2 linked regions of the Drosophila melanogaster genome follow. The protein of the gene in region 1 interacts with the protein of each later gene in a pairwise test. Each region holds a gene or a part of one and is shown in the gene's direction. Other genes may lie near its edges. The genes, in order: Syt12 and CG42597.

Region 1 (5,238 bases):
GCACTCACAACATAGTTGCTGTTTGTGTTAGTCGCAATTTACCACAATTTGTACAATTTATTTGCTTTCCCTTTGACTCTTCAACTCGGGAATGCCCCTTTGTTTTTCTGTTTTCTGGTTTTTATTTTTATTTATTTATTTTTTTTATTTGATTCGGTTGCATTTCATTTGCAATTTAGACCTTTTCATTTTTGCGACCCCAGCACTCGTTTTTATTGTTTCATTTTAGCCTGAAATGCGGTTTTCCTTTTCCTATTTTATTTCTCTCATTTTATTTCATTTTATTGTGTTGTATTTTTTTTTTATTTTTTTTTTTTTTGATTTTCTGCCCACCAAGATTTGACCGACAATCGAGAATATCGAGCATCGTGGCTATAGCCCCCTTGTCCGGTGGAAATATCGTTCGCCAAAGTGTCGATTGAAAGCAATTTGATTTGGCGAACAATCTGCTGATTGCTGCTGTCAGAGGAATTGCGAAATAATTCTGTGAAAATTATCCAAACTGAGTGTGCTTTTAATCGTTAGTGGTTTTTTTTCTCATTTTTTTTTTCTTGTATTCAGCATTTTCATTGCGGCGTGGCTCAGCTGGGGATTGGGATATATGCCTTTCGCCTTTTTGGCATTTCGGCAGTGCCAAAAATTGCGTAATGGCCGCAAAATCAAAATGCGGCAAGTTGCAAAATGTGAAATTTATTAGGCGCTTCGGGGCAACGAGAGAGCGAGAGATGTAAAAACATTTCGCGCCGAGCATCCTTTGGGGAGTCACGCTAGATTGACCACGAATTAAAGCCATTATCGGCCGAAAGGCCGACCCTTGTGTGTGTGTATCTATCTATTATTCAGGTTTTCGAGAACTCACCCCCCTTCCCCCCCCCCGCTGCACCCCACCGCCGTTTACCCTGCAAGCCGAGAGGAGTGACGGAAGGCACCCCCATTCCCCTACCCGCACCTATCATTCTTTTAGTTTTTCATTCTCCTGCTTTCTTAATCCGCTTAAAGCGATTCGGATTCGGCAAATGTTAAAATTCCAGGATTAGGGATTGCAGTAACATTGAGTAAGGTCAAACTGTTCTATAGCTTGCGATCCACAAAAGTTACTCCATGACCAACAGGCAGGGGAAGTGGCTAACAGTTGGGGGAAAGTAGCCGAAGTATCGCTGTTACCGGAAATGGGCATGCTGTACAACGGCATTGCCAAATGGGAAAAGTATAACAGTTACGATATATGTTATATGCCTTCCAAGCCGATTTCAGCCCCTTCGTAGGACAGATATGCGCCGCACGTGTTTTTGGTGGAAGTCGTGACACGAGCGAACTGGAAAATATCGCCTAGAACATATTATTCTTATTCGTATATTCTTATTAAAATATTATGAATTCAGTACAGACTTCGAAAACATTAATATTCTAAGATGCGCTTGTTTTCTAAGTAGATTTACGCATTCTTACAATTTATTTACGTATGTAAAAACATTATATGCCCAAAGAACATATTTTTTAGTTAATTTTATACTTTTAAGCACATTTTAAACAAGAGTAATTCTTTTAAAACGTTTTGTAATAAATTTGGTAGTTAATTATTAGAAAGTACAAGTTCTTTAAGATAAATACATTTAAATAGCAGAAAATTTCGCCATAAAAAGCTCGCTTCTATCATTTATCATCACCGTTTTATGGATAAACCTAAGTCGCATTTATGGCGTTTTCCTTTAATTTTATAGAATTTAGGTGAAGTTTTGGCTGTGCCCTTAGATTATGGTGCATTTATAGCATTCGCCAATAGTTAACCTTTGTGTCAAAGCTTGTCCCAAAAGCTCGCCTTTTTTTGCCGACGCAAAGTTCGTTAGAAAGGACGAAGCTTGCATTGTTTTCAAAACGAAAGCTTAAAGCTGCAAAAACGCATATCAAAGAGAAAGTGGAGCAAAGTTGTTGCTGTGTTTTGACCAGCTTTCCCCCAGTTGGCCGCGAGTTTTGGCACCGAACGGTCTACGAAAATGAGCGAATTTTCCGCCCGCACTTCCGCTTCCTGCTCTTCCTCTTTCCGCAGCGTTACTACTTGTTATTATTTGTATTGTTAAATCAGAGTGATAAACTAATATATTTGCCATTTAAATGTGGCCAAATGATCAGCAAGGATAAGTAAGGTAAGCAATTGCTAGTTCTTCTTCTGTTCCGTTCTGTTCTGTTTTGTTTTGTTTGGTAAAAGTGCGAGTGGGAAAAATGCAGGAAAATCCAAATGAGCTGCGTTTCGGTGTGTCTGTGTGCGTTGCTCTAGATTTTTGGCCTTTTATCTTGAGCCTCCATCTCCCTGGCTCTTTCCCATTTCTGATTACTTTGACTTTCGCCCGCTTTTCACTCTCCATTTCACAGTGAAAAGTTTTTTGATTTCTGCTCTTTGTTTTTTTTTCGATGGAAATGGAAAATGGGGTAAGGGCTACAGTTGTCACTCGCCGAACGTGACTGGCGTTCACTTTTCACAGCTTGTCCCATTTCTGATGGCCCAAAAGAGGTCATCTCTGGCTAATTCGGTGCGACACTTTCAGGCCCAAAACCAAATATAGTGTATATAGCATATATATATGGTATATGCGCATACATACATATACATATATCAGTTATCGGAGGAGCCTGCGTGAGTGTGTGTGTTTGTGTGCACCTGCAGCAACAAAAGACAGAGCAAAGAGCCAGTGGAATGACCTCCCAGTAGGTTAATGAAAAGTGGCACTTCAGCTGGCTGCTGCCTCTTGGCCCGGCTAAAAGTTCTTCTAAGCCACAAGCGTTGTGCTACCAACTTGGCCCTACTAAACTAGCCAAATTTTAATGGCCAATTACGACTGAAATTACCGACAGTTTCACCAAATATAATGCTCTTTTTACTGCCTTCTGAAGGGCATTGCTTTATGAGGATTATAAAACAGATTGTGTATTTTCTGTTTTATTTTGTAAGTTTATCGCAGCTAAGAACACCTCTAATTAAAGAGCATCTCAAATCTGAAATCCTTTTAATTTGTTATTGAGTTGCAATCAAATAATATTGTTAAAAATGGAAATTAACATTGCTACAGCTGCAACTCTAGTTTCTTTTAAGCAATTACATAGTAAATCCTTTCTCGTATTACACGGTATCTAATAGGCTACCCTATGCTTTGGTAAATTAATGTAATGCTCTTTTACCCAAGGCATGTATGTATAATTAAACCGATTTAATTCCCAGCTCAATGAACTGGATACGATGCATCTCCGAGCAAATTAATGAGTACAGAGTAGAGAAAATAAATAATCAGGCTTAATGGATCTGGCAATATACAGTGCAGCTTCCCTAAAAGAAATATGCGATAATTCAGTTCCAAATCACAAAGTTAATTAACAATACTAAAAACACATTTTGGATGATTTATGGAAACTAATTTCGAAATTTTGGATAAAAATTTCCAAAAAATTTTAAAATAATTACATTTTTCAAAAATGCAATATCTAAGAATGGTTTTTTGGGTATAACTTCACTAAAAATGGTCATAGAGCAAAACGAATTAACATTTTATGCTCCCTATTACCGATACTAACCATTCCTATCACTTTTTAACGGATTTTGTAAAATTTATTTTTGGCCAAATTTTCGCATTTTTTGTAAGGGGTAACATCATCAAAATTTGCAAAAAATTGAAAAATCCTAGAATTCCCAAATTTGAATGCAAATCGATTGGGATTCAAAAAACAAACTCAACGAGGCATGACATTCCATATTTGGATTATTATTTTCAATGTTTTGATTAAAATACCGATTAGTTTTTTTACAAAAAATCAGGGAAACCATTTTTCCAAAAATTGAAATAATTAAGATCGGTTTTTTGGGTATAACTTGGTTAAAAATGCCCTCACAGCAAAAAGAATTACCATTTTATGCTCCCTATTACCAATACTAACCATCCCTATCACTTTTTAACGGATTTTGTAAAATAATTTTTTGGCCAAATTTTCGCATTTTTTGTAAGGGGTAACATCATCAAAATTTGCAAAAAATTGAAAAATCCTAGAATTCCCAAATTTGAATGCAAATCGATTGGGATTCAAAAAACAAACTCAACGAGGCATGACATTCCATATTTGGATTATTATTTTCAATGTTTTGATTAAAATACCGATTAGTTTTTTTACAAAAAATCAGGGAAACCATTTTTCCAAAAATTGAAATAATTAAGATCGGTTTTTTGGGTATAACTTGGTTAAAAATGCCCTCACAGCAAAAAGAATTACCATTTTATGCTCCCTATTACCAATACTAACCATCCCTATCACTTTTTAACGGATTTTGCAAAATTTATTTTTGGCCAAATTTTCGCATTTTTTGTAAGGGGTAACATCATTAAAATTTGCGAAAAATTGAAAAATCCTAGAATTCCCAAACTTAAATGCAAATCGATTGGGATTCAAAAAACAAACTCAACGAGGTATGACATTCCATATTTGGGCCATTATTTCCCATGTTTTGATCAAAATACCGAATATTTTATCACAAAAAATCTGGGAAACTATTTTTGGCAAAAAACTCAATTTTCAAGTTGGCTCTTTTGGCTATAACTTGACTAAAAATGGTCACAGAGCAAAAATTAGTACCATTTTATACTCCTTATAACCAATACTAACCACCCCTTTCACTTTTTAACTGATTTAGTAAAATTTATTTTTGGCCAAATTTTCGCATTTTTTGTAAGGGGTAACATCATCAAAATTTGCAAAAAATTGAAAAATCCTAGAATTCCCAAACTTGAATGCAAATCGATTGGGATTCAAAAAACAAACTCAACGAGGTATGACATTCCATATTTGGATTATTATTTTCAATGTTTTGATTAAAATACCGATTAGTTTTTTTACAAAAAATCAGGGAAACCATTTTTCCAAAAATTGAAATAATTAAGATCGGTTTTTTGGGTATAACTTGGTTAAAAATGCCCTCACAGCAAAAAGAATTACCATTTTATGCTCCCTATTACCAATACTAACCATCCCTATCACTTTTGAACGGATTTTGTAAAATAATTTTTTGGCCAAATTTTCGCATTTTTTGTAAGGGGTAACATCATCAAAATTTGCAAAAAATGGCGAAAAATTAGAATTTTCCTTTTTGAATACAGTTCGGTTAGGAATTTAATTACGAGTTCAACGAGGTATGATATTCCATATTTGGATCATTCTTTCAAAAGTTCTGAACAAAAAACTGATTTTTTTTTGCAATAA
Region 2 (3,496 bases), on another chromosome or scaffold:
GGGTATCGATATACCAAAAACATATTGGGCACACCCACTCTAACGTCACACCCACTCGGCGTCCACCATAACGCCTACAATCCACAGAAAAGCCGCAGCGGCCACAATTTTCGAAAATGTTATAAGTTTATTATTTTTTTATGTTTCTTGGTTAAAATTTGGAAGCGTTGTCATTAAGCGTTGGTGAAGTGCATCGATGGCGTAGATTGGTTCCCAACCACAACAAGAATTCCTTTTGTGTAATTGGCTGATTTGAAACCACGTCTATACGTGAATAACGCTTTTCGGAACCGCACCTCAAGACCAGGATCAGATTGGTACGCTTACCGTCTACCCGGTAGTCCTTACTGTCCTGATGCAGAGCAATAGTTTCGTAGATGGAGTAGACTTTTCCAACATTTAGCCGCACAAAGGATCCAATCACAGCCTCCGCGAAAATAGGTTTACCCAGTAAGTTCTTTATGTCGTTCCGTTTTAACACTGCTCGACTCAGCTGTTCCAGGTTGGATACGCGTTCATCGCTTTCAACGTTCGTTTGCGGATCGTTTTGGGCTGTATTCTCGCTCTCACTGTTAGGCGAGGAATCGCCGGAATAAGTCTCTTTGACCTCGATATTTACATCCTTACGCGTTTGTGCCTTGCAATCATCACTAGACTTCGTCTGCTCTGCACTGTCTTCGGAACATTTTCCCTTGCTCAATTTAATGGTGCGAATTGCCAATAATCGCTCAAAAGCATGTGCTGTTTTGCCACCAGACTCCAGTTTATTTGCGATCTTACGTCTTGTCCGTAAGCGCTCAACCATTTTTTTATACTTTTACTCTACGAATATCGGGTATAAAAAGTTTAATTGTAAATTCGATGAATTATTCAAAAATGCGAATCATAGGTAGGCCTCAGCAGGAATCATATTTATATGAACTTTTTTTTAATACTAAAACTACCGGATATTCAACTGGCAGTTTTTGTAATATTACAAATATGTTAAATTCTCGCAGCTGTTCAGTGTTCCTCATTCAATTTGCTTCGCTCGACATCGGCAAATATGAGTTTTGATATTGGAATTTTTGGTGGCGGCTGTTCAATAAGCACAAAAAACCGTAATAAGCTAGAATCCACGACAGGTGACTGAGTTAGCAGGAGAAAAAAAATATGCGCACACAAAAGCGAACCATTTTGTGTGGGTCTGGCGAGCAGTACGCGTATTCTTATTTGGCTAAATGACAAAACTTCATCAAAGTGAGCTTACGACTTCCTTGCTTTGATAAAAATTCCAATTTCTTTTTAGTGATGTTGGCTTTTGGCCGGACTTCCATTGGATATCTAATTGGAATTTAAAATGGCGGCACAATTAAATGGTACTGCTATATAAATAATTCTACAGCAATTGTTTGCAAGAAACACTAATTTAAGTAAAATGCAAATGATTTCCGGTATTAGGAGCACGGAGTGGAGCCAGAAGTGGTGCTCCGCATTCGAGGTGAGTGCGTTGGGGATGTATCTTCTGGATATTGCATGAGATTCGTATCCCCTCCACCTAAGTTTTCAATTGCGATTCAGTTTCGTTTCCATGTTGCAACTATAGCAACGACGACGACGTCATACGATTAACGTGAGCTGCATATTTTCGGCTAATTTTCTAATTAAAATGATATTTATGCATTTTTTAGCTGACAGAATTAAACATTCAGTGCCAAAGCCAATTTTTACAGGCAAAGTGAACAATGAAGCACGTACTAACCTCTCGCATAAAGATATTGACATTACATATTACAAAAGATAAGGGAGTAGGTATAATCCGTTTTAAAAGGTAGTGGTAAAGGTAAGGTAGACTTCATAAAAATCAATCAATTTTTTATCTGCTTTAGTCTTCCACGAGTTCAGCTGGTTTTCAACTTTGAAGTCCCTAAAGTTTTCATTTAACTTGCCAACGCAATACAGGAATTATTCTCCGACCCAGCAAGCATTTTAAATTGAAACAAACAAAACAATGTGTTTTGTTTTTTTTACCTTATTCATTCTAAATTTGTGTAACTTATACATATTTACAAGACCGCGCAGGCAAGTCACTTCTAACGTCTATATACAGGCAATACCCGATAGTTAACCAATATCCCTTTCTAAGGAAATGACCAGTCCCACGCCTGTTCTATTGGCCTTCGTTGTGCACATGGTGCTCCACACAACGCTCTTCATACATCTAGATCCGGGTATAATTGCAGACACCCCCGTCTTTGGTAGCCAGTTATTCTATTTATCAGTGATGGATCTGCTGTGCGACACAGAGGTAATACCCACGCACTGGAGTAACATTCCGCGGTGGGGAAAGTTTATCCTTGAGACCATTATCGCCATCCTTATTGGCGAAACTTTGATGGTGGGCGTATGGCTTTCCATGGAAACGCTTCTCGTCAACTTTATAAATGTTATAACCAATTGGTTGGGCCTGGGCAGCCGTACAAACACTAATTTCCAGGAGATCGGCACGATTTTATTGGGAGTTATCTTTTTAGTGATAGTGGGTGCCATTACAAATCGACCGGCCAAAGTTTGGAAAATGGCACAACAGTCTTGGAGAATCATCACACAACAAAGTCGTCCTTCGTCCAAACAGAAATCTTTTAAATAAGCAAAAGGACCCACATCGTTTTCGGTTCCTTCTATTAATTTGGGATACCATTTCTAGTTTATGTGCACTTTTTTATTAAAAGGGTGCTCAAAAAAAAAAAATTGGTTATCTCTAATTTCAAGTACCCATCTCTTTGTTCTTTTAACAGTGAAATAGTCAAATATAGTCTTTGATATCTATGCACCCCAATGCTTAATGAAGCTCGATATTCACAAAAGGATGCGATGCACCTTTGTAAATGTTAGCATACGACCTTTACTTAAGAAGAACAACAGGTTTTTCTAATGTCTCGATTCGAAGCCATAGGGCAATTAAATATGTCACGGGTGGGAGCGGAAACTTGTAAGACATTTAACTGTTTGGGCGCGCTTAAATGGAATCTGAGTGAAATAATTACCGTTGGAGAAAATGATTTCGAACAAATCATGTCTTACGGTTATTATACAAAAGGACATCCGTGATCCCTTAGGCAAGAAAATTCGAGAAACATAAGCTGCAGTTGCGCTAAAGGTGTGGGTGTAATTAGTAACATTTGTGCCACCAAACAATTAACATAGAAAGTGGCTCGAACTCTGTGAAGAACACATGTGCGATTGACTCTCTCTTGGGCCATTATGTAATAAAAAGCGCTACTTATGTTTACTTAATGTATTGTATATCCTACAACACGAAACTCAAAAAATTTGAGATAAAAGAGAAAAGTTGAGTTTTTCAAACTAGTATTTTAGACCCTTTACTCAGATAGTTGGTGTGTGATTAAGAAAGTTCAATAGTATTTTTTGACATATCTATAGAAATTGTTCGGTTTTGTGGGCGTGTCTCTGGAACCTGCTTGCTTATTTCAAATTTCTAGCTTTTCAAGTTCCT

What was found.
Region 2: the proteins of Syt12 (region 1) and CG42597 interact in a two-hybrid assay, tested with the Drosophila melanogaster proteins (one large-scale study listed by BioGRID).

What each region holds. Positions count from the first base shown.
Region 1 is NC_004354.4:13,357,294-13,362,531, forward strand, and holds the start of Syt12 (synaptotagmin 12), read left to right. Parts: upstream 1-1,954; 5' UTR 1,955-2,144; intron 2,145-5,238.
Region 2 is NT_033779.5:22,063,826-22,067,321, reverse strand, and holds CG42597 (uncharacterized protein), read left to right. Parts: upstream 1-1,978; 5' UTR 1,979-2,061; intron 2,062-2,125; 5' UTR 2,126-2,128; coding exon 2,129-2,629; 3' UTR 2,630-2,718; downstream 2,719-3,496.